4 linked regions of the Styela clava genome follow. The main gene of each other region encodes a partner of the protein of the gene in region 3 in a complex. Links are inferred from orthologs where the notes say so. Each region holds a gene or a part of one and is shown on either strand. Other genes may lie near its edges.

Region 1 (6,694 bases), on a different chromosome or scaffold from region 3:
CGAGAGAATACTCTCGTCGTTGGTTAATAAATTGGAAACCCGTAATTTTTATTCAGTACGAAAGTCGATTTAAAAAAACTATCGTTTCCATAAATATCCGTATACCAGTGTCGGTAATGATAAAATTGATGGCATAAAAATGGGACGGTCAATTTGCGAAGGTGATAAAGGAAAACCAAAGCTAACACAAACGATATAAATCAGAATAAAATTAATTTGAATTCACTCCTTGATATTTGTCTTTAACATCTGCCACCGGCGTGTATTATTGCCAAGAATATGAAAACCCAACTTTAATGTCCCATTCGGAAAAGAAGTGGATTCAATTGGTTGTTATGATAGGTTTAAATGCGTGAAAAAATATCGCAATTACGGGGTCATTACGTAATTGATTTTGCCGTAATTACGGAATTGATTTTTGTCAATTACGTGCAAGCCTATTACCAGTTATTGATATTTGATCAATTCTCTATTACAGTGGTTTTTAGTGGGGTCAACGGAGTCCGAAGGCACTACACAAAGGAATTTTATAGGTTCCATCATGTGCTTCACATGCATAGGATGATATCAAAATACCGTACTCGGATTAGTCGCGCTCGCACAAGGCGAAATGTCAAAGTCAACTCGTAAACCAGGCTACAGTAGATCACATTTTCCTGGTCATATAAAAAGAAATTGTTTTATATCTTCATTCAAAGCAAAATAAGGTCTCATCTGCTTAAATTTGATGGAACGTTTGACATCTTTTGTTCTTGGGTAATGTGAGATTGTAGGCTATCCTTTAAAAGTTCACGATAGATCATATCTTGTATCATCATCCGAATGTGAGGCAGATTTGATGAAAAACATTGTTTGTGAGCAGTATGGACTATTCGAACAAGTCATCAAAATTCTTGAAACCCGTTTTCTATTATTCCATTTCCATTTTACCATGGGTAAATTTATTTCCTATAAATGTTTTGTTTTCAGTTTAATCGTTGATCTATTTTTCAGAATGGTGCCGTTATCGGAACATCTACAAACTACACGAAATGGGCTCAATATCAACCCAGGATTGGAAATGAATTCACCATGTACACAAACGTATTTCTACAAGCTGGGCTTACAACTTTTGCTTGGTGGGGTGAAGGCATGTACAACGCACCGCCGACATCTAATTCGAATGGTGTTGTTTGTAAACGCTGACGATTTATAACAAATGAGCCGTCTTTATAAGGCGTGATTGAGGGGACCGAGCGTCTAACTTTTATGTGATTTTTTCAATATTTGTCATTTATATAATACTTTTTATGGCACATCAAGAAAGAACGATTGAATAAACATTCTACCAAACGCTTGATTGTTTAGGCAAGATATTGTGAAGGCGATGTATTATTTCTTCACATTATTTAGAAACTGAATATTTTACGCTGTAAAATTTTCAAAATAAACCTTCAACACAAAAAGGAGAATGTAGGATTGAGTCCGGTCATATAGTGTATTCTTCTTGAGTACAATTTATTTTTAGAACTTTTTACTGAAGGGTTTCCACATCCTTTTTTCACGCAAGCCTTGGAAAAGTACATATTCACTTATTTGCATATGGATGCTTTTGTTTTCGAGTTTATCCTACTTATCAATTGAGGAAACATATATATGACCCTTGACGCTCCACTTCTCGTCTGTAATTTTCTTATACTTAATCTTTACAATTTTATTTTAGGGTTCGGGACTTTGCTTTGGGCAAACTTAAATATAAAATAAATTGATTTGTTTGAAGAGGTGGTAGACATAGGGGTTATAGAATTTAATGCATTGGCATTTAAAATGGAATGCTTTGAATACAATTTCAACTTATGATATTCAGTACTGTAGACCCATTTGATGATTTTCTGAAAGATGTGTGCACTCTTTAAGTTTAAATAAAGCAAATCGTCACATGCGAACCTTGACTTTAACACGAAATGCAGTTGGCGGGTCCTGTTGTTGTCGGAACATTTGAAATACAAGATAGCAATGCTCAAACATATTAACACGGAGGCCTAAGCAAAATATTTTACCAACAATCTCCCAATCTCCTCATTCATCTCAGGCTGAAGGTGGCTGGAACAGCGAACCCCCCCCTCCCCCCCCGTCATATATTTTAAGAACACGGTTATTTCGAACAGAACTCGTCAAACGATCGCTGGTCGATTACGACATCCCCCACCATCAAGTCCATGCTTCTAAAACGAATAACTGGCTAACTAATCCTGACATGGAATGGTAATCGTACGATGTTGCACCTTGCGATCTGTCCCCAACCACAGATAAATTATATCTTAAAAACTACCCACATTGGTAGGCATAGTTGCGTTTTAAATTGAAAGAAATCTTCATTAATGGTCATCAGGTGTTGTTTGTCTTATTGTTTTGTTAGTTAGCAGGTAATTTATTACTGATCTGATACACAAACTTGGCACTGTCAAATGATGATTAGTGTTTAATTTATTTTCAGGAAAAGGGAAGATAACCCATTATCAGCTGCTTATATGTCCCATCAATATTTGAATTTTCGCCATCCCCAGAGTGGAAGAGAATATTTAGAAAAAGGGGGATTTTGAAGAAAGGCAAAAGGCAGGACCATTTCAACAAATTTTGTTAACTTGTATGCGTTGCAATATTTGCAGTTGTTAGCATAAACATTCAATGTGTCTTTCGACTAGACCTACCACAATTTAAAAAAAGCCGCCTACACCCCTTTTCACTAGAACCATAATACTGTAAAATATTTGATATAAATTACCCCCGAGGCATCATATCTTCCATTTGAAAGGGCTGTGGAGGCAGATACATTTGTTACTCTAAATTGTTGAATGTTACTTTCAGGTTATCTTATCCTTGCTTATATATATCTTGAGGTTAGTGACTCCAACTGACTCATGCATGCCACAATGAAAATTCTCTTGTGTACCCATGAAATAAGGCTGTTGGAGCCTTCAGACCTTGAAAACAGTCGAATCTGAGCACGATGGATTCATGTGAAACACGTAATATGCATTTAGAGGCAAAAATATCCCATCCTGAGCAGCACCGATCCACAACCTCCTGCCTATGGAATCAAAACATTAGACAAATTGGTGTACTGTGCGCATTCTCAAATCTTTGCGAATCAAGTGTGCCTTTTGACTAAAGAAAATTTAGCATTGAAATGGTCAATATCAACCTAGTATCTGCAGATAAAACCAATTGTTTTTTAAAAATACATTTTTGATGTGCTTTATTTTTAAAATATAATTTATAATTACTGTAAAGTGTGTGATACATTTGGTACCATGAATACCATTTGCAAATTATCTTGGGTTACACCCCTCTCAAATAAAAGTTTAGACTCTTAAGTCATATCTCATAATATTCTTTAAAAAAAGTTGCGGCTAGCCGGCTACCCATCAGAATTTCTTTTCAGATCACAAAGTCGAAATATTACGCCTCGGTAAGTTTCATTGGCAACTGTATCTGGTTGTAGTATCGGTGTCCAACGTTTGACTAAAACCTTCCCTACCAAACCCACCAAAACAATTTTTTTTCTTGATAGGGTCGTCTTGAAGTTGCTTTCGTTAAAGAACAATGGACACTTTATCTCCACCAATCCACAGTAATCACAAGTTACTATGTCATTACGATAAGCATCAATAAATGGATACTGAGAATGTATTATCAAGTCACGCAAGCTGTCACACAAGGGGAGCCAGTTATTTGTTTTCAGAAGCATGGACTTGGATGGTGGGGAATGGTCGTAACCGATCAGCGGTCATGTGAACCACCCTCGGTGGGAGTAGAGCTGCAATCCTCTCGCACATAACTATCCCCGCACGGGATTGTGAAACTACCAGAGTGATCAGAGAGGCGGTGGCGAGCGTATTCATAGATGGCGAATTCAATTGAATTCTGGTTATTTTTTGCATGACCACTGGTGTTAAACTTTAGTTATCTATTCAACCTTTCACACTTAGTAATAGATTACCTGCTAATTAGGGAAACAATACCTTATAGCAATTGATTAATAATTCTTTATTGTCTTACATAGGTCAAGTCTGCAACTGCAAGTAGGCCCACGCCTAGGCCTACTAATAACAGTAGTTTGTCATCTGCTTTCCATTGAAATGAGGGAGCTTGTGAATATTTAAAAAAAAAGATATCGGCACACTATCACTCACTGTCAACGAAGTGCTATCTGCAAACAGTGAAACACAGGTAAGATGGCTTCTGGACTTGACACCAAGCAGTTCTGCCAATAGGCAATAGATAATATCCACATTGCGCGACGTTCCGGATCTTTTGAAATCAGTGGAATATAACTGAAGATCCATTTCGTTGTCTATACTTTACGTACAGCCAACGGAACAATACGAAATAACCATTTTCAACAGGCAAACAAAACGGAAACGTATAATCCGACTTGCAACTGACAGGAGCCAAATGGACGTTTTTGTTTTATTGCCGTCCAGTAAACAAGGTCACGTGACCCGTGTAAGTCCTCTATTTGGGTGTAGCTCTCTTGGTTCTTTATATTTTTGCATGTTTTTTTGTTTTTTACTGGTTGGAAAAAATAAATTTCACTTAACTTGACTTCAGCAAGCACGTAGGCTACTACTTCTTTTGACAACACCTTCTAATCTGAAATTTGTACGTTTTAGCGTAAATATATACTACTACGGTTTTAGCCCTTACTTAAAGATTTTGTTCGCTTTCCGGTTCTGATATCAGTTTTATTTATTTATTTTCTTATTATTATTTTATCGTCTTTTATGCTGAATATGGAGTCAAAATGAACTCATTACGACTTCACTGGAATATGCGGTCAAAGGTTATCACTGACCACTTTAGGCACTGTTGTAAAACATAATTCCCGCTTCGTTGACTGGCGTGTTTGTTGCGTTTCTGTTTTTCGCAGACTTCAGCTATGAAGCTCGCAAGATTTTTGATGAAACTCAGCCATGAGACAGTTACTATTGAACTGAAAAATGGTACCCAGGTGCATGGCACCATCACTGGCGTAGATATTTGTATGAATACGCATTTGAAATCAGTTAAAATGACTGTTAAGAACAGGGAGCCAGTCACCTTGGAGACACTCAGCATTCGTGGCAATAATATTCGTTATTATATATTGCCGGATTCTCTTCCATTGGATACCTTGCTCGTAGATGAAGGGCCTAGACCAAGAACCTTCAGAGACAGTCGTGGAGGCAGAGGAGGACGCGGTGGTAGAGGCCGTGGTCGCGGAAGAGGAATGCGTGGTCGTGGAAGAGGTGGCCCACCAAGGAGATATTAAAATAATAAGAATGCTGGATTTGAATATCGAGTTATTTGGGATTATTATTAAACAATTTTATGACCAATGAAATTTCCTTTCGACTTCATGCAGCTCAAAATAATCATATTGGCACTCTGTTTATCGTAATTTGACTGTACTTGCTGATAATCAATTATAAATCAGGGCTAAAGGAACTCCTTTTCAACCCTGGTTGTCTGGTTATCTAATGCTAGACAAGAAATTTGCGGTACACCAAAATTTTATCTTGCAGTTTTATTCTTAAAAGAAAAATTCATGTTTCATTGGGACTTACAATCATTTTCAAAAATTTCATCCTGCAGTCTTATTCCTAAAAGAAAAATTGTTCTTTTGCAATTCATTTCAACCATGTTTCATTGGGATTTACAATCATTTTATTACTGTATTACAACAATGAATATTTTACAATTGTTCTTTTGAATTTTTGCATGCGTGAAGAACTAATGTTTGTTCTCCAAACTGACAGAAATTAGAGGTATTCAGCAAGTCAATATGCCTTGTTTTTGAAACGGGTTTCCACAGATTATGATGCTCATTATGTATGAGAAGTTGTAACTGCATCAGATATTGCAATCATCTGCTTTCTCAAATATTTTTCGCCGCCACCAGACAGTTGAATTTGTTAGGAGAGTTCAGCAAGCAGGTTGAATAGTACGGTACTCCCTCAAAGTTACTTGGACATATTGCTATGAATTATCTAGCTGTTGTGGAAACTAGATTATATCTCAGAAAGATATATCTTATTTCTGACAGAACTAATGTTTCCCATATTTTTGAATGACACGGAATTACATGGGCCTGTTTAAATCGGGTTCGACAGCTTGGACTGAAATACTTCAGTCAACCCGAACCCCCCAGTAATCAGACACCAATCAAAGTTGATATATTGATTAACAATTTTAAAATATTATTTGAAAGATATTAACAAAGGTATATATTTCATTTATACGGAGCATTAGTGTGAAGACTGTTCCTATTTATTGCGAATAAGTTTCTCAATTCAAGGAGCGTTCCTTACTACCCTACCTGAATTAAATCACCATGTTCGTGTTATTGACCTTGTCCTCTGCCAAACTAATGAATTCTTGAAATCTCTCTCAGTTTCAATTGGCATCTCACTTTCTGCAATGCACGCAGCACATTATCTTTTAAGATTTGATAGTTTGGCTGCAAAGCTGTGGGTTACACATTGTTGTGTTGTGGGATCATGGAAAATCTACGCACACATTTTCTTCTGAAAGTGAAGGATATAGCAACACGTGAAAACTTAATTGTGTACTTCTGGAAATCTTTCCGTTAACCCCTAGTCTAATGCAAATATTTTAGACTCCACATTTGACCAATAGCCTACTGAGTAAATACGATCACAATTATGTCATT
Region 2 (8,327 bases), on a different chromosome or scaffold from region 3:
ACTAATTCGTAATAAAGAACTTGGAACATGTGAACAATAGCAAAAAATTGGCATTTAAAAATATCAAAAAAAGATGCTAAATTTCATGCTCAATTATCAAGAGTTCACAATCAGTTGTTTATAAAAAACACGCTTTTCGACTATAAAAGCCATGTTTAGCAATCGGAAAGAGACACTGAGAAACAATATTTTTTTAATAGGATGGTCAATGTCAATACATTTATCACATTTAGTTTAAATACTGCAATAAAATGCCTGCAATACTGCCCAGTGACATCTCTCGATAGAACTGCCATCATTTTCACACCATGAAACAATATAAAGAGCATTCTTATACCAAATATAGATTTATAGCCAATTAATAAAAGGTATAATCCAAATATGTAGCCTACCAAATGTAGCCTGCCAAATGTAGCCTGTCAAATATGTAGATAATTTAACAAACTCAAGTTGCAATCAGCAACTCACTAGGTAATGTAATAACCTGTAGGTAATAGGTTCTGCCACTGATTCATTTGCAGCCAAGTCAAGTTCACTAAAAAAAAATATTTGATTGTACCTGTATAATAATATAAGTTAACAACAACATTTTTAAAACTAATTATCGTTTCCGGTAGCCTATCAATCATAATCAGATCATAGTTACTTTGAAACAGCTGATTTGACTTTCTTGTCATTAAAAAACAATTGTCCTTCATCAAGCAAAATTTTACTTGTAATATTTAATTCTTCCAATTGAGTTTTACTGTTTAATTTTTCCATCAAATTAAGCAAAGTTGTTTCACCATTAAGAAACTTTGCAATTCCATGGGTAGTGAAGCCAATTCTATGATCAGTCACACGATCTTGATGATAATTATAAGTCCTAATTTTATCGGAACGCTCCCGATTTTTGACCTGCTGTTGACGAGCTTTAGTGAGAGCACTTTGTTGCATACTATGTTTTTCTGATGCTAATATAGCTTCTAGCATTTGCATAGCACGATCCTTATTATCATGTTGAGATCTTGTAGCATTACATTCAACAATCTTTCCAGTTTTAATATGTTTTAATCGAATTGCGGATTCAGTTTTATTTGCGTGTTGACCACCTGAAGAATTAGAGCGTTTAAAACGTTGAACCTCCACATCTTTTTCATCAAGTGTTTCAGTTCGATTGCTAAAAACTGGAAGTAAAGCGACGGATGCTGTACTGGTGTGTATTCGTCCAGCTTTTTCTGTCTCTGGCACACGTTGTACCCTATGGGTACCAATCTCATTCTTAAACAATTGATACATATTTCTATCTATAAAATTTATATTTGCTGAAGACTTCTTCAATCCTCCAATATCAGTATACTCGACATTTAAAATTTCAAAATCATGTCCAAATCTTATACAAAAAGATTGATACATTTCGAGTAATTCTGATGCAAAAAGCATGGCTTCTTGACCCCCAACGCCCGCTGACACTTCGAGAACTGCGTTGGAAACTTGATTATCACCGTGCATTATTTCAAAAAGCTTCGACACAATTATTTCATTACATGACTCTATTTCTTTCAAAAGTTCTTCTTTTTCATCTTCTGCAATTTTAATTAAATCATCTTTTTCATCAGATTTAGCTTCAGTTAATGCTTCAGATACAAAAGATTCAACTTCTTTTAAATTATCATGAACACCGTACAGATTATCAATATCATTGTTCAAATTTTCCAATTTATGAATCGCAACCTTAGGATTGCTCCCAAAAAACTCTAATAATGAAGGTGGCCATTTTGTCTTTGAGCTAGATTCTATATTTAAACGTCCATAAGCAAACTTGAAATAATCAAAAAGATCTTTATGGTGAATCTTCTCTCCTTTCATAATCGAAGACGTAGACAATTGAACAGCATGTCTGATAATGCCACAACATGTAACTGATTTGTGTAATAATTGAGATTTATTGCAACAAGTCCGAGTGAGGAATGTTAGAAACATAATACAGGTTAATCCTGTAATTATAGTCTAAATAACAAACCTAGAACTGATGAACAACAGAATAGCAAATTCACAGATTCCAAAAATATCCCCAATATCTGAATATTTAGATATATGAAAATAAATAAGATGAAATTTGGTAGGAGACATTTCTTTAGTTCTTTACTGCTGTACTGCCTAACTGATACAGTGATATGGGACATGCATGCAATAAATTAAATATAGATGTTACTTTGACAGATTCATATTCAGATATTCTATTTCCATCGTGCATGAAGTATTGTACCGACACAAGTAATAAAAAAAATGGTAACAATAATATCAATTGAAATAAAGAGACATACAATATTACTGCAAGTGATAAATTGATCAAAATCTTAAAACTGTAACAAGCAATGATTTAGAGAAGAACATTTTGTTTGAGTAATAGGCGACTGAGTGGGGTGCCTTTTTGCATTGATAGCATTATGGAATTTGAAAAGAAAAAATTATGATGAATTATTTGACTGATAATTGTTGATTCTATAGTGAATTTAAACTATAAGTTATTTAGAACACTATATCATTGATATTCAGGGTCTCATGTAGTTCCTACCTAACATACTTCTAGTGGGCGTAGCATGACAATTTTTTCACGTATCAATCCTAACCCCCACCTGACTACACCATCCAAAAATTACATCATTACCACGTCACAGTGAAGTCTGAAAGTAATAGAGCCCTTCAAACTATATGAACTCGTCGCAACGATTCCAATAAGAGAGAGATCGATAACGTCGGTCAGTTCTTCTGTTCTTTAGCGTCGGCGCCAATGCCATTTCGGGCGATTGTACGTATATTTGGCAAGCTCAGTCTATGACGGGATTGTGATCTCGTAGTGACGTAATTTTTGGATGGCGTAGTCAGATGGGGGTTAGGATTGACATATCAAAAAATTGTTATGCTACTCCCACTAGAAGTACGTTACGAAAAAGGTACGAAAATACACGAGACCCAATATTCAGATATTTAAGTATTATCAAGGCATTTCAGTAAGTGTGGCCCTCGGCTAGCTTACGGGAGAGTGACAAGTGTCCATCCTCATTTTTTGTCCAACTTACGCCAATTGTCACTTCTACACTTCAACATTCAGTTCGACTGTCAGACTGTTCGATAACAATTCACTCATTCAGATTCTATAAGTTCAGAACTTTATCATAACTCACAATTCAGCAATTCTGTAATTGAATATTTCATGTTGCAGTGTTTCGTCCGCTTGAAACATGTAATAGCCTACCTACTCCACTCAATTACGCGAGTTACCGTATGTTATATCCCTATTCTACATGCGTCAGTCAGCAGACATATACATACATAAGCATATGAGGTCCCAACTTTTTTTTTTTGCCAAATTCAAATCCATTGCCAAATCGGATTTATACAAATGATAGTTTTGGTATATCCAAATAATCAAATATATATTTCAATATTATTGCATGAGGTCCAAATTTTATTTTATTTTTGTGATGTTATTTAGGTGATTTCATACAATGAATAAGTATACAATGAAAAGATTACGCAACTAACTGCAGCTAATAGCCATGCTGCAACAATGGTTATTTCCCGACCCTTGACCTCACCTCGCCAATGCAAAATATTACAATAATATTATTTTTTTTTTGAAGGTGTTTCAACGATCTGGTCATTATATAATAACTGAGGTTAAAAAAAATATTCTTATCTATATTTACACTTTCCGTAACTTTTATCTTCATTATGACGAGTATTGGGATAAGTTAACATTTGCATATTTGTCCCGGGGGGAAGGAAACCGATAAGACGGTCTTAATATAAGTTTATCCGACGCCATAATCAGCATAACAGCAACAATGGTATATATTTACGGAAAAACAAATAAATGAATATTGATCATGAAATCAGAAGAGCAAACCAAACCTCAGATTAGGTTTAAAACATACAGATATAGGATGGAAAGTTTTGCCAAGGAGGATAGGATAGGATTTACATATTTATCCCGGGGGATAGGAAAGTCGATAAGACGGCTTAATCATATGACGAACCACGGCCTCTCGTTCTGTTTTCGGAAGCATGGACTTGATGGTGGAGGAAGCCGTAACCGACCAGCGGTTACGTGAACCACCCTACGGCGGCGAGGAATCCAGCAATCCTCTCGCACATGATCATTCCCGCATGGGATTCGAACCTGCGATCCCACGAAGAGTAATCAGAAATGCGGTGGCGAGCGTATTCCTAACGCTTAGCACAATGCGCCACACCGCCGAGCCAAGAAAAGGTACGTGTTCACTAACCTGAAATTAATAAATGAATTCACACACACTCACATGTACCACTCGCAACCACAGAGATATTATAAAGTAAAAAAAACGCTATAAACTTAAAAGATAGAAAACAAAAAAAAAAATAAATAAAATCATAATTATGTCTGAAATTCCGCCTCCGATTAATTTAGAATTTCGACTCCGAGTCCCGCTACTAGCTTCACAATGGTAGCAAAGTGACTATAAATTCCGACTTTTTGACATTGATGAACGGCAACTAAACCTTCTCGATAAATGCAGAAATGCGAGGTTGGTATAATGGATTTTATTGGTGATTTCCGTGTACAAATGATATTTAATGAAATTCTGCTGTTTATGAGAGATCATATACGGCAATTATCGTAAAGTAGGCCTAGTTCTGTAGTTGGAAAGATAGGTACGGTAATCATATGACATTACCGATATGATTATTCAGCCGTCCTAGTTTGTACCGCACTGCTGATTTACAAGCTAACGGTTGTGTATTATTACTGTATTGCTGTAATGGTCTATATCAGTGGCCAGTGGTTCTCAAACTTTTTTAGTCCCAGAGCCGCATTTCAAACCTCAAAGTTATTATATTTGATGGTGTAGCGTACCGGCAATGTATGAAATAATTATCCAAGTTCAGAATATCTTCTAATATGATCTGACGTCAAGTTTTCTCTCAATAGTCCAAGTCTTTATGCTATTTTATGTCATTTATTAACAACTCGAACAGTAAACGATCCAAAACAACCAAACACTCCCCAAAGGAACGAAAAGCATAAAATAAAAATAACAGATACCAGGCAGTAAAATGCAAGAAAGACCACATACACAACAAAAACACTGACCAACCCTGAAATCCAAGACAACTCTGAATAAAAAACCAAATGACCCCTAGAATCTGGTACAATGAACTAGCTACTGCAATTTGTAAAACAGGCCGAAAGTAACTTATGACAGGCATTTAAAAAGACTATGAACAATTCTATAGGTGCACAACATTTGAACAATACTGATGAAAGCTAATTCCACGATAAAACTGAAAATACAACACTACGGTAAATGAACTGTAATGGCACTGTACTGGTAAAATCAATAACATGGTCCCTACGTCAGCCCACTGTCCAGCACAAAACATCCGACAGTCACACAACACAGACAAACATCCCTGAAGACCAGACGCATTCACACAGACATTCAAAACCCACCAATCTAACCGAAACACTCAGACGACTCCACTCTGTCACACACAGCATACACCAACAGACCACGCTGCCCCCGAGAACCGATCGACCGTGTCGCAGCGTCTAAACTGCTAGAATACCAAATATGGAAACGATATCACATGACGTCATTTAACAGGCAAAACAAGGGTCGTCACATTACCCCCCTCTTCTAGATGGAACATTATGAAAGAATGTTTTCATCTCTAAAAAAAATATTTGAAACACGAAAAGCAGTAGTCAAAACCAAATTATGTCCACAAATGTCTTTAAAATATGCAGGCCGTCTACCCTCACGCTTAAGCATCCGTAAAGTTTGTCATTCGGGATTGAGTCCACCAACGTCATCGAAACGACCAAATTGATGTTGCATATCTCCATTGGCTCAACAATGGCTACTATGTTAGATCTCCGGACGGCCAAGGCTGTTGTAGCTGAACTAGAACAACCATTCCCGAGCGGCCGGTATAACCACATCTTCACTATAGTCCCATGACAGCAGGGAGAAGCTGTTTGGTGCTGTACCTTAACATCCTGTCCCTCAAGAACAAAACGATGCGACGAATTTGCCAAGATAGTCCATCCGTGACCCTAGATCGGCGACGGCAACGGTATGCTCCACAGGCCAGCTTTCAATCGTCAGGTTGACATCAAGTGCACCATGAGACACTAACGACTCGCCACTGGCAGTACGCAATGGTACTGGAAAAGAATACAGTTCTGAAATGTCCGAATTTCCTGCAACGTCGAGTAAACAGCGGTGTCTATGAGCGAGACACCCGAACCGAATTTTCCGCAACGTCAAGTAAACAGCGGTGTCTATGAGCGAGACACCCGCACGTGACCCTGGATCGGCGACCACAACTGTATGCTCCACAGACCAGCTTTCAATCGTCAGGTTGACATCAAGTACACCGTGAGACACAAATGACTCGCAACTGGCAGTACGGAGTGGCACTGGAACAGGATGCAGCCCCGAAATGTTCGAATCTTCCTGCAACGTCGAGTAAACAGCGGTGTCAATGAGCCAGACACCCGCACCGGTATCAATCAAAAACAAAACAGGCACGTTATTGACCAGAGCCTTGACATATCATCCATTAGTCCAAGTAATAGAAAAAAAAATCATAGTTCATAGAAAATATCCTGGCGTGCTCTCGCCAAAAATTGTAGCGTACCGGCAATGTATGAAATAATTATCCAAGTTCAGAATATCTTCTAATATGATCTGACGTCAAGTTTTCTCTCAATAGTCCAAGTCTTTATGCTATTTTATGTCATTTATTGACAACTCGAACAGTAAACGATCCAAAACAACCAAACACTCCCCAAAGGAACGAAAAGCATAAAATAAAAATAACAGATACCAGGCAGTAAAATGCAAGAAAGACCACATACACAACAAAAACACTGACCAACCCTGAAATCCAAGACAACTCTGAATAAAAAACCAAATGACCCCTAGAATCTGGTACAATGAACTAGCTACTGCAATTTGTAAAACAGGCCGAAAGTAACTTATGACAGGCATTTAAAAAGACTATGAACAATTCTATAGGTGCACAACATTTGAACAATACTGATGAAAGCTAATTCCACGATAAAACTGAAAATACAACACTACGGTAAATGAACTGTAATGGCACTGTACTGGTAAAATCAATAACATGGTCCCTACGTCAGCCCACTGTCCAGCACAAAACATCCGACAGTCACACAACACAGACAAACATCCCTGAAGACCAGACGCATTCACACAGACATTCAAAACCCACCAATCTAACCGAAACACTCAGACGACTCCACTCTGTCACACACAGCATACACCAACAGACCACGCTGCCCCCGAGAACCGATCGACCGTGTCGCAGCGTCTAAACTGCTAGAATACCAAAACGATATCACATGACGTCATTTAACAGGCAAAACAAGGGTCGTCACAATGGTCACAATGCAATGTGACAAATATTGTTTTTTTGTTTCAATTTCATGTTGTTATTACTGTATTATTTATCTGTAGTGCATTACATTTTCAATTTCTGGTTGTATATCAGCGTAGTTTACTTTTATCAGTATTATCTTTTAGACCAGGGGTTCTCAAACTTTTGGTGTTGCGGAGCCCGTGAAGAGGTTGACTATTATTCACGGAGCCCCAAAATAAATTTTAAAATTGTTACTTTCCGATTAATATTCCTGAGTAAGTTAAAAGTACTTTACTTAATTTAAATGCTAAACCTTTTTTAACGGGTTAATACAAGTCATAAATAAATCTAAATTTTAAAGATAAATTACCGTATATATATATTGAGGCTGTAAATTTGACACTTGACAAACATATTAATAAATTAGGGGTCAAATCTTTTTCTTTTGATATTTGGTGACCGTACATTTGAACCCACGTACATTTGAACCCATGTGTATATCCACGGGTTTAATCTATATGCGGGTGCTAAAACCCATGGGTTAAGGTTAGTATGGGTTCAACTATCCGAAAAACAAAAAAAATTTCATAGGTGCAATAGCATACAGGTGCAATTGTCATGGGTTCAAATGTAATGGAACCATATTTATTGAGGCTGTAAATTTGACACTTGACAAACATATTAATAAATTAGGGGTCAAATCTTTTTCTTTTGATATTTTTAGAAGACCTAAAAAGTCGCTGCGCGATTGCATTTTGTTACAATCGCCGACTGTTTTCGTCAGCGTGAAACGTCAAACCTAAACATCTTTACGTCTGTGTTTATTCTCCCTAAATCAAAAATTTCTTCCGGCATATACATGTATTTTTCCACAATGGCGACGATAATTGCTTTTTTTTTCTCGTGGGGAATTA
Region 3 (8,751 bases):
GGTGGATGTTCTTGTGACAAAAAGTAGAACTTCAGGGGTGGGTGAAAACAATTCTAACAATCTTGAAATTCTAGGAAACAAGGAGGAGCAGCGAGTCTTGCTATGAGAGAGAAGTCTCTTGTATTCACAATTTGCAAATTTACATTATTCTTTCAGTTGTTCAGTTCTAACTGTGTAAATAGAAAAATATCGATATATCTTATTGATATTATTTTCAATATCGATGTTCATTCTTCCAGTCCCATGATGAATACAATTGTTTAAAACGTGTGCTGAGCAGCCAACCACAATCAATGACGGGTTCAACATTTTCTTTAACTTTGCAAACACATTGTTTCCTTGCTCATTACGCCGAAGTTCTCCGAACATAGTATTGCAGTTGTCTCCTGTAAATGCCACACATTTTTTCAAAAGCATCATTTTTTCTGAGGTGTCTTTTACATACGTGGCAATTATGCCTCGTTTGCCTTGTTTGTAAACTGAATCAATTTTGATTGCAAACCACCTTTCCTCCAGTCAAAATACTGTATTGAATAATTGTAGAAAAAAGTTCCAGAAAGTTCATAAGTGGTAAACATCATTGATAAGGAAAACGCTCTGTTACATCATAATTCCATACAACCTCGTAGTAAAAAATATGCGCACGGCACAAAATAGCAATGTTCTGTATTAGCAGTGTGCACAGTACAATTGCAGATGCAGTAAAATTCCAGACATTTGAGCATTTTTTTAAATTCATCCCGGACGCAAAATTTAACCCTAAATTCCGGACATGTCCGGAAGGTATGACAACCCTATATTAAGATTACTAGAATGAAAGAATACTATTCTAAAATAACATAAAATATGTGATAAACTGCCAACTATAAATAAACTGGAATCGTATTTTTGCGATCTTAGAATTCGTCGTACTTGATTTGTTCATTCGCACACAAGATTCGTTTTTAAGATAGCGCCGTTTAAAAAATCACAATGTCTGCGCAAAATACGAACAATTGAAATTTATTTTATTGCATTCGGCTTCGTCGGTAGTTTCAGATTCATGACTTGTATTAACCCTATTAAAAAGGTTCAGCATTTAAATTAAGTAAAGTACTTTTAACTTGCTCAGGAATATTAATCTGAAAGTAACAATTTTAACATTTATTTTGGGGCTCCGTGAATAGTAGTCAACCTTTTCAAGGGCTCCGCCACACCAAAAGTTTGAGAACCCCTGGCACAGAGGATGTCATCATTGACGCGTTTATGTATTTTTATTTGCAACGTAGCCACAAAATGTCCTCTTTGATGCAGCGGATGTTGCTAGGACATAGAGCAGAGGTACCTTTGGACGACAACTGCGATGTTCGAATAAGTTTTTTTGTTTAATTGTTACCATTGCAACATTTCTTCTTGAGTCGCTGATATGCCAAGATTACCGTCTTTGCAAAATTTTGATATCTCAGCTGAAGCCTCTGTCTTCCTGGCCAATTCACCAATGTCAGCACTCTCTTCAAAGCTATACATACCATCATTGATCAGGTTTTCAATACATGCTTCATTCTTCCTGTCGAAGAGTTCTCGATGCATCTTGCTTCAGGTGAATAGAAGTTATGAAAGTAATAAGTGAGAGAAAAAAGATACAAAATGGGGCATGCGGGAAGAGAGTGTAGAAATATACTGTAGTGAAGTTTGCGTCGTCGTAGCAACTCCAAATAGCAGTTTGTATCTACAAAGACTTGTCACAAAACGTTATAACTTGTTTGCAATTCAAGTTTTAGCCGTGCGAATGGATTCCATAAAACGGAGTCGATTCCCCGAAAAATCGAATTCGCCATGCCCACGCAAGACGTGAATATATTTCATTCCTTGTCTGCAAAAAGATATTTTTCAACGTAATTATGGCTTGATCCTAGGCTTTTATAATCCTAATATATCTATAAGTTCTCGGAGACACATAGTTTATCATCAATATACCCAGCACTTCGGTGAGTGAAGCATACAAGAAATTTTCGAATGTCTATTGCCAATGAAGCAAGATGGTTTAATCAATGGCGAGTCACGGTCTCTTGTCCGGTTACAAGTGCATGTGATAAGTAAGTCAGTTATTTGTTTTCGGAAGCATGGACTTGAACAAACACCTACCTACTAATCCCATACCTCTATCGTACCTCAGCCGGACGAAAGGACATAGTTCGCCATATGATAAAGCAGCCTCTCTGCCCCGGAAGAATATGTAAATCCTGTTCTCTCCTATCTGATACAGTTGTCAACTTGTTATGTAATATTTATGATTCTATCTTTATATTGTGGATGGCCATGCTTATATCAGAGCCATTATATAATGACTCTGCTTATATGATGGCCTTGAGATTTCCCTATGTGGTGGCACTATAGAGCAAGTGCCATCAGCTTTGCAAAACAACCTTGGCCCATGCACAATTGCAAAGGTTGCTTCTGTATCAGAACTAAAGGATTTACTGATTTAGGGTAAACGTTTTGAGCAATCAGGAAAACTAGAGTACGTACTGAAAAAATGGCAGTCGATTGGATCGGATTTCTCTACGCTGCGACTGTTGCAGCTGGCGGCATTGTTGGATATGCTAAAGCAGGTAAGGGAAGAGATTTCAGATTTAGACTAACATCAGTTGTATTTCGATGTTATCGATACGGTAACCTAGATCTAAGGTTCTGACTAAATACTGAAATAAGTAACCTGTTAATGGCATAGCGGCAATTTATAAGCAACACCAGTATGCACACAATTCAAAAACCATGAGAAAATACAGAAATAAACATTATTTTTGCATGTGTGTTTTGGCAATTACAAGCATTAAATAAGGAGACTCTCAGACTCTGGAAACAAGATGTCATGTATATTAAAAACAGGACTTGAGCTGATTCTAGCCTAATTAGGATGGGATTTACATGGGAGAGGCAAGCTGATAAGACAGCTTAATCATACTGTCATATGGCGAACCACGGCCTCTTATCCGGTTGCCAGTCCATGTTGGGTATGGAATTAGACAGTTATTTATTTCCGGAAGCGCGGACTTGATGGTGGAGGAAGCCGGAACCGACCAGCGGTTAGGTGAACCACCCTACGGGAGCGAGCAGTTCAGCAATTCTTTCACGCATAACTATCCTCGCATGGGATTCGAACCTGCGAACCCATACAGGTTGATCAGAGGAGGAATTATTATTATTAGAGTGATACCTCGGTAGTCGGACATATTTTGTTCAGGCTCGAGGATGGTTGTTCAACTACCAAACTCTCTTTTTTCAACTCGATAGTTGTTCTCACTGTTTTCCTCCCTCTTCCGTTTACAACTACCTTTCTTTGGAGCCATGATCAGCAGCAGAAAGGCAAGAAAAAGAACTGAATCACAAAAATTTCTCAACACATGTTAACTTGATAACTACCTAAATACCGCAGTATTTTGGACTCAAATTTTTCGGTTAAGGACCGGGTTGTTACAGTGTCGAGTTGTTTGGTTATCGAAGTATTAAGTAGACTGCAATACTATTAAATACTTAAATCAATCATTTTATCTTTTTATGTTTAGGAAGTACAACCTCATTAGGAGCAGGTTTATTATTTGGAGGGCTTGCTGGTCTTGGTGCATATCGAACATCTAAAGATCCAAGTGATCTCTGGCTTACTGTTGGTAAATATGTATTCATTTTTTTCCTGGTGGTTTTCATAATATTCCGAGGTGCAAGCTTTTGGATGATGAAACTAGAAATACATAGATAAATCAATTTTGAATATAATTCGAATTTTAGATACAGAAGTCTATATAACGTGAATAATGCGATTCCAGGAATGTATTAAAACATGTACCATACCATTTCCTTGAAAAGCTTTCAATTATTTTTAGGAGTGTCTGCATCACTTGGTGCAATGATGGGTTGGAGATTCTACGGGTCAAGAAAGTTTATGCCTGCCGGACTTGTTGCATTATTGAGGTGAGATATTATTAGAATGGTTAGGTTTAGCTAGGTTACAAGCCCTCATTTGAACAAAAAAAAGTTTTTACGTTGAACAATGAATTGTCAGCCAGGACAAATTTATTCGAGTGTGCACTATTTGTTTATAACACTCATTCTGTAATAATCCTCATCTGTTCATTCTCAAATTTCTTCTTTTTTACTATTTTAGTGCTGGAATCCTTGTGCGGAGTATTTGTAACCTCACAACTGGTAACCAAGGAAAAGTGGAATAATCACCAACATTGTTCTCCATTTTACTTTTTTTGCTGCTATAAACCAGCTTTCTCAATATAACGAACCAGTGAGAGAAATGAGAACTATTTAGATTATGAAATATATAAGAATATGATGGGACTCTGAAGTGTGCTTCTGCTCTGTTGCACCCTAGTGACTGAAACTAATGATGGAATATCTTTTCAATTTGTTTTCTATGATTTTTTGTTTGTTATTTTTTAAAATTATGATTGCCTTACAGCATTTTTGTCAATCATGTCATGAATGAATTTTTATGTTCTATTTTGACAACAATAGTACAATACATTCCTGTTGAAATTTTGTTTGTCATGTTCCTTCCTATTCATGAACCCTGTCACAATTGAAAATGTACTTTTAGTTGCTTTACTATTTGCTATTATATGGTGTTCACTCTAACCCTGACACGGGCCCAATCTGGACCGCCTGATGAGCTCGAGGAATTTGTTGAGATTGCAATTAAATTTAGTGTTGGCACAAGGCTTATTGTTTTCCACTTTTGCTTATGTAACACTTTTACGTCACACTTTTATGGCCCGCTAGTCTAGGTGGTCAAAATTTTGGCCCCTGGTCCAAAAACCTTGCCCACTCTGACCAATGCTGTGGACAACTAGAATATCAGAGCTAATGTAGATAGGAAACCATTCCCTGACATTCGCTTGATTCCAATTCATATACACTAGAAATGGATACTAGTTAGATATGTTTCTAACCTGGACAACATTGTTTTAGCACAGTTTACTTGAGTAAAAATATTGTAATATTTTCATGAAATGTTCACAACTCATAAAAGGTTACAACAAAGGACTCGACCGAAAAAAGATTTGAACAGATTTGACTATCTGCAGGTGATATCCTCATATACAATTGTGTTTGTTGGTAGTCGTTTGAAATTAGGATAGGATTTATATTATTGTGACTGGGGGATTGTATTCTATATTTGTTCGAAAGGAGTTTAGTAACCTATATTCCAGAATGTCTGATAATAGTTAAATATATGTGGAAGCTAAAATTCCTTGGACATATGATAATGGGATTAATTATTTTTCAGGCTCTCGTAACTGAATTTCAGCAAACAAAAAGTGAGTCCGACAAAGAACAAGTTCTAGCGAATCTTGCTAATTTTGCCTATGATCCAATAAATTATGAATATTTGAGGAAATTGCAGGTATTTTAAACAACTGTGTGGAATGAAAATCCCCTTGTTGAGGAGTATATAGCATGCTTTAGACCAGTGGTTCTCAAACTTTTTAAGCCATGCCCCCTTTTTGGAATTTTTCAAGTCTCACGCCCCAGCCTGAAAAATAATAATTGACTACAAATAATTAAGCTACAAATAACTGATAGTAAGGAGAAAGTATGTTTTTTCAAACAACACATTGAAAATACGTGGATGGAACGTAAAATAAGGAAATATAAATATGCAAAATAGGTGAGCAAGATCAAATCTCACAAATATTTTTATTTTAAATTAGCTTCACAGCCCCCTCAAATAATTGTCTACGCCCCCTTGTGGGGCGCGCCCCACCATTTGAGAACCACTGCTTTAGACTTTTCCATTTATTCTTCTCCTATTCAATATATTTTGGCTTAATTGTCGCAGCAAGAACTACGAGTTTAGATCGCCAATTATCAGTCCATATGACCTGGAAATCTGGAATGTTTTATTTTCATCAAAGGGCAGGCCTCTTTCATGAATTTATCGCATGTAAATCTCAAATCAGTTTGAAATTTACTTCCCTCTGCCAGTTTAGATGGAATTATTGATATGATGAAATTCAAATGCCATGTTCTATTATCCTAATCCAAGTGTAAAAATCTGAAAGCGCTCATTGATCTTCCAGGTAGTCGATCTTTTCCTCGATTGTTTGACAGATGATGAAGACATTAATTCAAAAATTTCAGAGTTTGGAATTGCAGGACTTTGTAATATAACGGCAGATCCTAAGTTCAGGGATTATGTTCTGGATGGGGATGATAGTGTACAACTTATCATGAGATGTCTTTATAGTGTTAATACCGAAACTGTTCTTTCTGGAATGACAACATTGATGCAGCTTATTCTACCACAATCAAGGTAGGTAAGTTATTGATCCATAATTGGACTCAGATTGGCCAAGATGCTCAGTGGTATTGGGCATCATGATAGGAATACGCTTGCCACTGCACCTCTGATTACACTACATGGTTCACTGAATCTGCATCACTTGGAGGATAATTATGTGCAAGAAGATGGACTTATCGCTGCCATAGGGTGGTTCAAGTAATGCTAGTTGGTTACTGCTACCTCCGCAATCAAGTCCATGCATTTGAAAACAGAATAACTGGCTAACCAGAGCTCGAAATGGACTGGTAACCGGATGAGAGTCCCGCGTTTGCAATAAGATCAATCTTGTCGAATTGTGTTTCAATTACAGGAACTTGATTATAACTCCTGCATTGGTCAAAAATTTGAAAGTTTTCAAAGAATCGGAGGATAATCGAATCTCAAATCTTGCCACTGTATTTTTGGAGGATTACTGTGTGAGTGAAAATAAAGGAAGAAAGAGGTCATTGAATACCTAAAGCAAAATTCGAAGGGTTCACCTGAAGAAGGTTCAGTTGTTAAATGCTGTTGGACATTGTCATGCATTGATCTCAAATGTATAGCAAATCCAGTAAAATGTGATGGTTGGCTTGAGTATACAAATGCTTGTTTGAAGAAAACTGTTTGGATAAGGATCCCCTGATGAAAGTACTTCAGTATTTCTCCGCAGTAATACTATCGGGGATCTAAATAGGAGCGACTGGTATAAAGACTGCCCTCAATTCATCCGAAATGGATGAAAACTTTGATTGTTAGTTTTTAGCACGTTGTAATGTTCGTTTGCACTCTTTTTCACCGATAGTTGTGCTTCTAAGGCAGGGCTACTCAACTGGCGGTCCGAATCCGGCCCTCCCGGGTATTCGTTTCGAACCGCGCCTTATTCTTTATTTTGGATCATTAGCCCCACTTTTTGAGTTTCCTTTCCTAAAATAACTTTTATGGATTTAAATATATATGAAAAGAACTATAACGCCATAATAAACAATCCTGATTAGCTAATAATCATTAGTCGGCCGAGGAAGTGCGTGTTTGAGGATGCCAAAATATGGAAATCTGGAAAGACCGGACCCAAATTTTTTTGAAGTTTTGTATGCGGATCTTCAGTAAAAATAGTTGAGTAGCCCTGCTCTAAGGTACCATATGCAGAGTGTGAAAGGGATTTTGGCCACATGTAGCTGACTCTTGTGACATTTGATTCCGAATGACTGAATGCATACTTCACTGTAAAATGAAATTCATATTAAAAAACACATGGGCCGGAAGTTAGTGTTTTGCTATTATGGATTTGATTATTGACGGTCGTGGCTTCTGATCTGTATCCCCCCATTTGGTGTAAATAAAACGATTTGGGATTTTAGTGCTTTTAATATATACCTACTCCCTCCAGTTGAAACAGGGTTTTCCAGATATGTTTCTGGCCCAGAGAGCGACTATAGTGTGACAAAAACTGACAATGAGGGAATTTCGAGGCCATAATTGTTATGATCTTGCGTAAATCGATGCGACATGTCGGGCAAAGTTATCAGTATCTGGTAGAAAGATGCAATGAAAGTCTTTCGTTAGGATTTGTATCGCTGTCTCCGTTCAGTAATTTAATCAAAAATCCGAATGCAATACTTATGCCAGTCTATGCAATAAATGTCATCATGAGCCATACATTAAGATTGCATATGTTATTGGACGGGTGTTCTCGTGCCCAAACCGAGCGGGTAAAATAACAGTGATTTCCCTAAGGACAGTACTGGATTGGATATACAAAATTCCGAACTCCCGAAAGGACCATTTATTCCCTCCCCATCTCCCTTCCCCACCATTTTTATGTGTTTTAGATTGGCATGGATCTTCAACATGCATCCAGTTTCTAAATTTATATTCAATTACAAAACATATTATACACGCGGACCATCATGCCCTAAAATAAAATTCTAAAAAATCTACTGTAAGCTTACAATTGGCCTGAACTAGACTTAATCTTCTAATATGTGAAACAATTATATAGTATACAAAAGCACTCAATATGTGGCTGCTAAAGCTCCAAAATAACAATAACTTATCGACGATAGTCACATTCCACAGGAGGCTCTGCGCTAATTCAGGGTGATATACAACTTTCCCAAACTAGGTTATTGCACTCCTAATATTTTCAATAGGTCATTTGACGAAAGATGGCTTCTTCGTCGAACTTAATCGAGAACTATTTGAGGTAAACAGTTACCGAAAATAGATTGAACAAATTGAAATTCTTGCTCTTGAGCGTGATAGAAATCATAATTTTATGATACTTCATTACTTCGACCAATGACATTAAACAACATGATAGGCAACTCTGACGTCACTCCATAAGACTACAGGCAAAACATTGTATTTCATGATACGCTCCAATGCACATATTTCTCGTCGCCTTTCGCGTCCGTTTTCCGCTCGCTTTTGCTACTCGGCGT
Region 4 (6,553 bases), on a different chromosome or scaffold from region 3:
CAAGTCTCACGTCAACAGAGATTTACTGATATGTGATGAATCCCCATAATTCTATATGGTAAGAGAAGCACTTGACATTCTAGTGCAGGGGGGCGCAGCAGGTGGCCGGCGGGCCACAACCCGAGGTCCCAGCCAACCAAGCCATTTAGTGTGGCCCTTATCTACACCCAAATTTTCCCTGATCAAGCATAAAATCCTAATCTGACAGTTTGTTAACATCAGATATTAACAAACCATGCAAGAACTCAAAATTTCAATTTTCCCACTAAAATGTTAATGTTAAATAACTCATATTTTACATATCAGAAACTTTCTTAATTTGTTGTGTACATGGAAACACTGATTTTTTCGTGTGGCCCACCTAGATGTTTGAAGTATGTTAGTTATATGGCCCATCGACAAAAAATGTTGCACACCCGTGTTCTAGTAGGTACCGTAGTTGCCATTTTGCCCAGAATGAGTCTTTTACGTTCTTAGTGAATGTGTGTAATGTTGCTTTGAGCATATCCTCATTAGTTAGAAAGTATTTCATAATTATCATTAAATTTTGAAACTCAAAATACCTTAGTTTGCGCAGCACAAGCTCTTGCCAACAAAGTTTTTCCAGTTCCAGGTGGCCCATACATTAGAACACCTTTGGGTGGTTGAATTCCAATACTGACAAATCTATCTTTGTGAGTCATCGGTAAAACAACCGCTTCGATTAACTAATAGAAAAAAATAAGAAATAAGATTAACTAGTAACGAAATGATAAAAAACTATAGAATCCTAGATTATAAGTGACAATGAATCTTTTCACTAATCCCACAATTTCTGTAAATAATAAGCAGTTTTTCAATACTGATAGATAAGATTTATTTTTAATTCGGCATGGTACAAAATGATAAAATACAGGATGGAAATTCGGCAAAGTTGCCAATACTTGCACAAACAAGGTTTAAACAATTTTCTTGATTTTTGTTACTGTTTGTTTAATTTTTTTCCTACTTTGTATGAATGATCACCTCTTGAATTTGTTTGTCAAGTCCTCCTATATCAGAATATTGTTCAGTAGGTCTTTCATCAACTTCCATTGCTTTAACACGAGAATCATATTCTGTTGGAAGCTTTTCCAATATTAGATATGAATCCTTATTTACACCCTGAGTAATTTTAAGAAAGGATTAAATCAACTTTAGTAAATTAAAAAAAAATTAAGATTCCGATTTGAAAACGAAATGGCCATGTAGGATTTTGGGACCTCCCGTAGTATGTGAACCAAGATGGTGGACACCGGAACGTAGTACGAGTGCAAGGTTAGGGTTAGGCCATAATTCCAGGGGCCATAATTCCAGGGACAAATACTACGGGAGTCACTTGGCTAGTCCCTGAACTAGTAATAGGACTAAAATAAGGAAAATTGAAATAAAATCATGGCCAAACCCAACATGGCACACACACGTACTACGTTCCGGTGTCCGCCATCTTGGTTCACATACTACCGGACCGGTTACTAGAGTACAGTACCGGATTTTAAACTTCGAAATATAACACACACAGTCAATGCAATAAAGTCAGTCATTCAACCTGTATATAAATCAAAGTTTATATTCCAGATTTTTTAAATCTGTTTCAGAAGCAACCTGGCAAACACTATTATTAATCTTACCACAAGATCACCAGGAGACATATCTTCTGGTTCAACAAGACCAATCACAGGCAGGAAGTACGTCTAAAAACAAAAAGAGAGAATATATTGATTCATCAAACCATAAAACGGATATAAATTATATTAAAATGAAGAATCAAAATTTGAAAGCCTCTAATGAATGACTGTTTGCTAATGATCTGGCCGTTTACATACACTCACTTAAATAAATGAAACAGATTCAGTTATATTGTTCTCTCAATATCTAACTAGTGCAGCGGTTTCCAAAGAGACGCTAATTGAGCCACAACAAATTTACTTTCTGTTATGTAGTGTCTGCCTCTATTGTTACATAAAGATAGAAATAGACACTACCTACTGGAATTTCGCGAGCTGCAGTTTATTTATCTGCTGAATCGAGTTTAGCCAACATGAGTGATTTTTTCATCATTCTGCTGACTCGAGTTTAGCAAACATGAGTGATTTTTTCACCATTCCAGAGGAAAATCAGGCAGAGATGAGGAAGAAGAGTTTACCTTTTACCTTTATTCCTTAGGCCTACATATTTACTAACTTTAAAAGGTATGAAGTACACATTAACGATCATAAAATTGAGTTTTATTTGATGGTAGCAGTTTTTTTCTAAAAGTTTTTTCCCTGATAATTTGGCGCTCCCGAACAAAAAGTTTGGGCACCACTGAATTAGTGTATACACATAACATGCTATATATATAAAATCAGATGGCATACTTGTCTAGTTGATGTTTTAATCACTGCACATTTCCCCTTGCGCTGAGAATCTAAATCAACATTTGCTCCGTCCTCTTCCGCTTGCTCTTGAGGATCAACATCAAGAAGCTGAAATATTTCATTTTTTCATTGTTTTGTAAATACGGTAATTAAAGTCGTTTAGAGAAGATTTAAAAGGGTTATTCATTGATAATGATAACCAATCAATATGACATGAGATTAGTTGATGTCAGTTCATAAAAGCATCTTTTGATTTTTAGAATAGGAATATCATATTTATCTTGGGGGAGCAGAGAGACTTTAGGGCGGCGTTATCCCTTTGCCAAACCACTGCCTCTCATCCAGTTACCAGTCCATGTCGGGTATGGCAATAGTTTATTCAGATAATGAACTTGGATTTGCCGTACCCAACCAGCGGTTATGCGAACCACCCTACGATGGCTAAGAGTACCTACATATGTCCCAAAGCAATCGAATCCTTGCAGAGAAATCGAAGGTTGGGATGGCAAGCGTATTCCCCTCTCTTAGCATGATGTACCAACCTCCTGGCTAGAAAAAATATATAGAGTGAAGTTTCAAGTTTCAACATCATACATACCTCAATGACATTTGAGACAAGATATGGCAGCGTTTTGTTAACTTTAATTTTTTCAGCATTTTCCTTTATTTTGTCTTTCATAGCTTGCAATTCATGTGATATTCTCATCGTCTCACTTCGCATAATCTGGAAAGCAATTCAACATAAGGTATATTTTGCTCCGAAGCATTCTTACACAGTGAAAACAAAAATTTGGCACTAAAGTTCTGTCAAACAGTTTGAAAATGAGGGATTAAAAAAAAAAATTGAGAACAAAGAGCATTATATAAATATCTATATACCGTAAATAAATTGTTTGTGAATATATTATTTAAGGTAAAATAATATGAAGAAAACCTTAATTTCATTATCAAGAAGTTTCGTTCGACTTGCAATTTCCTCATTGCTCATTTTCATAACTTCTTCACCGAGTGCTTCCTAAAAAAGTCATATACAAAGTTAAACAGGCATCATTGGATGGCAAGCTCAAAACACGCTGAAATTGAAATTTTTTAATAATATAAAATAAAAAATAGTGATTTTTATCAACCTTTAAACCTGTTACTCAAGTGTGTGGTCGTGTGGAGTTAATAACTATTACCGGTACACTACCGGTATTTAAATCCAAAAAGCAATATTCAAAGTTTTTCGAATTTGGCAACAAACTGACAAATCAAAACCTTAATTCAGAGACTGGGCATTCAACTTTTAGGTAACTTATAGCATGAAAGTATATATGTTATATATATTCATTTTCTGACTATATAGCCAGCATAGGCTAACTGTTAAGTATGAGTATAAGTTCATTTCGACTCTATAATCAGCATAATAGACGATAATATAATTGAAAACAAAACTGATTATAGAATCAGGAGAGCAAACAAAATCTTAATTAGGGTTTGAAGCATACAGATTTTAGATGGAAAGGTATTGTTAAAAGAAGTAGTAGTATTAAAAGTAAAAGTATTAAAATCAATTACTCAGTGAAAAAAAATATACAAAAAAATAAGTAATGTTGATTATTAGTGCCTCATCAAAATTTTATCTAACATTGTTTGCGGTTTTCTCACCTCGACACTGTCAAACATATCCATTTGTTGTTCGTCTCCAGTAGGACTTTTTAGCTTCTCATCAATTGCCGGAGGTGCCATCTTCAATTATACTACTGCGACAGCGATTTAATTTCTAAAAAATTGTGTTCTAATAGAAAAATATATGATGATAGCTTGGAGTTTCAAGGTACGGCACAGTACGTAACTTCCAGACCTCTAAATGTAAATCCGTCCCTTCTGAAACGACAGAACAACAAAATCTGACAATGCAAATATATTAGATGCTTACTCATACTTTTGCCACTGGAGCGTTACGGGTAGTTTTTTAGGAAATAAATACAATTTTGGTTGAATATTTTTCCTATTTGTATATTTTATGATTAAATAATTAATTAATAAATAAGTTAAGACCAGAGTAAGCATATTGCATCATTTACTCCATATTCTTTTTGATGAGCTCAAACGCTAGGGGGAGAAGCAAGCTACTTCTTAAAATAAGGACGCGCGTTTTGATTGCGCTCAGTTCACTTTCTGCGCACTGTATGTTTCGGTATTTGCTGTTGGATTGTATCGCGTAATATCAAGATGAGCAAGGCCCATCCACCAGAATTGAAGAAGTTTATGGATAAAAGATTGGATTTAAAGTTGAATGGTGGACGATCTGTTACGGGAGTTTTGCGAGGATTCGATCCTTTCATGAATCTAGTTGTGGATGATGGAACAGAGCGCAGAAAAGACGGGACCACTGCACCCGTCGGAATGGTGGTCGTTCGCGGAAATTCGATATTAATGTTGGAAGCATTGGAAAGGATTCAATGATTTTTAATGAACTAATACCAACCACAAAAAAACTGATTTAACAATCCGTGATTGTGCATAGACTTATAAAAACATTTCGATCTATTTTCGGTCTTGCTAATTATCGAAAACAGCGTTTATCATAGTTTCTTTTTGTTTGTGCTGTTTTCGGTAAGTTGTAAGAGCGATTTTTATTTATGTTTGTATACCCTACTTTGATCTAGTGTAGCTTCCAAACATGTACTACTTAAATACTTGATTGCAAAACAAGCTAAACAGTGACTGCTTACCTCCAATAGTGATGGTTTGACACTATTGTTTCTATACCCCCAAAGTGGCATTGCGAACCATATGTATTTTAACTTAGCATATCATTGGGAAATAGTATATCTGTTAATATTGAGCAAAATAAAATGCATAGTTTCCTGTGGCTCTAATTACCTTCATTCTGTCATTTTTAACTGTTGCAGTTGTGTAATTTCAGTTCATGCTAGATCTATGTATGAAGGTAATTGAATTGTAAGTCTTATTTTCTATGTGCCAATAGCATTTTGCTATGGAATAAAATTTTTAAAAGTGAACGTCTATGTTTTAAATCTCAACACAATCCTATTGAGAAAGCCTGCAATGTGATACACATAGACGGATGTGCATATCCGCATTCGCTTAGAAACATTATCCCATAACGAATGCCTGTCAAAATGGGCTGTTATCGTCCTATTAATTGTTTGTCGTTTTCTTTGATCCTTGTTTTCTTGAGATATAAGCAAAGTATAAAAAGGGAAGCCGGGAAAATAACTTCTCCCAACGGATTGAGGAAATAAAAGAATAATACCCAATTTTGATATTTATATGATTCCAAAATCAATTAGATTGCAAATGAAGTGATGTTCCAAGACCACCTCTTACAGTGGTTCCCAACCTTTTATGGCTCGTGGCCACGCTGTTTGTTTATCATTCCAGTGTTATTTTGATTGGTAGATTCCAAGTTCCATTATGTTCAAACAATTCATGCACTAAAAAAGGGAGGAACACCATGTGAAATAACCTCATCAAGCAACGAAACTAGGAAGAACGGAGAGTTTTCTTGAGAAGTGGATAGTAAAATCAGTTTTACGCCTAGCATTGTGCCCCCCCCCCCCCCTGACCTAATATTTAATGCCGTACCCTACTTACTTTCTGTGCTCAATCCGAATGAACTACTCACTTATCCTGCCTCTTTCACCTTCCCATTTTAAAAGAGCCGGCACAATGAAAAGTAACTATTATAATGTATCAAATATATCAAAATTTGCAATAACTAAAAAATAAAACATTTCAGTAAAACATGATACCCATGGTGAAATTGAGTAATCATTTTAGTACAAAAATATATTCTCTATTCTCTGTGAGGGATAAAACGCTGCTATGCTAAAATACAGAACAAGGCACATGTGTCGCCCAAACTACCAAAACAGTCCAGGTAGGGCATGTATAAAACCATCAATGTGACAATGTAGTGACCAAATGAACGATTTGAGCTTTGGACAAAGCTGGAGCTACAAGGTTATACCGATGACATTATGTTAGGCTCAGGGCTGAAAATCAAAGACCTTAAGCTGGACCAGGCAAGATATTTGATGGTGAATTCTATTAACCAGGAGATATTGCTATTTCTTCCTGCCAAGGAGTTGTTTTCGTTGTGCTTCCAACAAGCCTTCTAGATGATCAGCACGCTTAACTGCGGACTCATGCTGTTGTTTTATTTG

What was found.
Region 1: armadillo repeat-containing protein 7-like (region 3) and small nuclear ribonucleoprotein Sm D1-like share a complex: the UniProt entries of both Homo sapiens proteins name them as parts of the minor spliceosome. The link is inferred for Styela clava from reciprocal best matches to the Homo sapiens genes ARMC7 and SNRPD1.
Region 2: armadillo repeat-containing protein 7-like (region 3) and pre-mRNA-splicing factor ATP-dependent RNA helicase DHX16-like share a complex: the UniProt entries of both Homo sapiens proteins name them as parts of the minor spliceosome. The link is inferred for Styela clava from reciprocal best matches to the Homo sapiens genes ARMC7 and DHX16.
Region 4: armadillo repeat-containing protein 7-like (region 3) and putative small nuclear ribonucleoprotein G share a complex: the UniProt entries of both Homo sapiens proteins name them as parts of the minor spliceosome. The link is inferred for Styela clava from reciprocal best matches to the Homo sapiens genes ARMC7 and SNRPG.

What each region holds. Positions count from the first base shown.
Region 1 is NC_135254.1:11,227,194-11,233,887, reverse strand, and holds small nuclear ribonucleoprotein Sm D1-like, read left to right. Parts: upstream 1-4,863; 5' UTR 4,864-4,921; coding exon 4,922-5,293; 3' UTR 5,294-5,722; downstream 5,723-6,694. Other genes in the region: uncharacterized protein LOC120344877, read left to right, coding at 994-1,185. UniProt on the Homo sapiens protein: Plays a role in pre-mRNA splicing as a core component of the spliceosomal U1, U2, U4 and U5 small nuclear ribonucleoproteins (snRNPs), the building blocks of the spliceosome.
Region 2 is NC_135261.1:8,620,926-8,629,252, forward strand, and holds the start of pre-mRNA-splicing factor ATP-dependent RNA helicase DHX16-like, read left to right. Parts: upstream 1-4,531; 5' UTR 4,532-4,550; intron 4,551-8,327. Other genes in the region: peptide chain release factor 1-like, read right to left, coding at 643-1,962. UniProt on the Homo sapiens protein: Required for pre-mRNA splicing as a component of the spliceosome. Contributes to pre-mRNA splicing after spliceosome formation and prior to the first transesterification reaction.
Region 3 is NC_135259.1:3,196,479-3,205,229, reverse strand, and holds armadillo repeat-containing protein 7-like, read left to right. Parts: upstream 1-4,936; 5' UTR 4,937-4,997; coding exon 4,998-5,072; intron 5,073-5,275; coding exon 5,276-5,392; intron 5,393-6,068; coding exon 6,069-6,301; intron 6,302-6,641; coding exon 6,642-6,789; 3' UTR 6,790-7,667; downstream 7,668-8,751. Other genes in the region: transmembrane protein 14C-like, read left to right, coding at 2,516-2,591, 3,546-3,647, 3,861-3,948, 4,142-4,205. UniProt on the Homo sapiens protein: As a component of the minor spliceosome, involved in the splicing of U12-type introns in pre-mRNAs.
Region 4 is NC_135255.1:6,374,452-6,381,004, reverse strand, and holds putative small nuclear ribonucleoprotein G, read left to right. Parts: upstream 1-4,511; 5' UTR 4,512-4,592; coding exon 4,593-4,826; 3' UTR 4,827-5,386; downstream 5,387-6,553. Other genes in the region: 26S proteasome regulatory subunit 6A-B, read right to left, coding at 564-707, 1,006-1,143, 1,650-1,712, 2,379-2,486, 2,977-3,102, 3,313-3,393, 4,026-4,106; centrosomal protein of 131 kDa-like, read right to left, coding at 6,455-6,553. UniProt on the Homo sapiens protein: Plays a role in pre-mRNA splicing as a core component of the spliceosomal U1, U2, U4 and U5 small nuclear ribonucleoproteins (snRNPs), the building blocks of the spliceosome.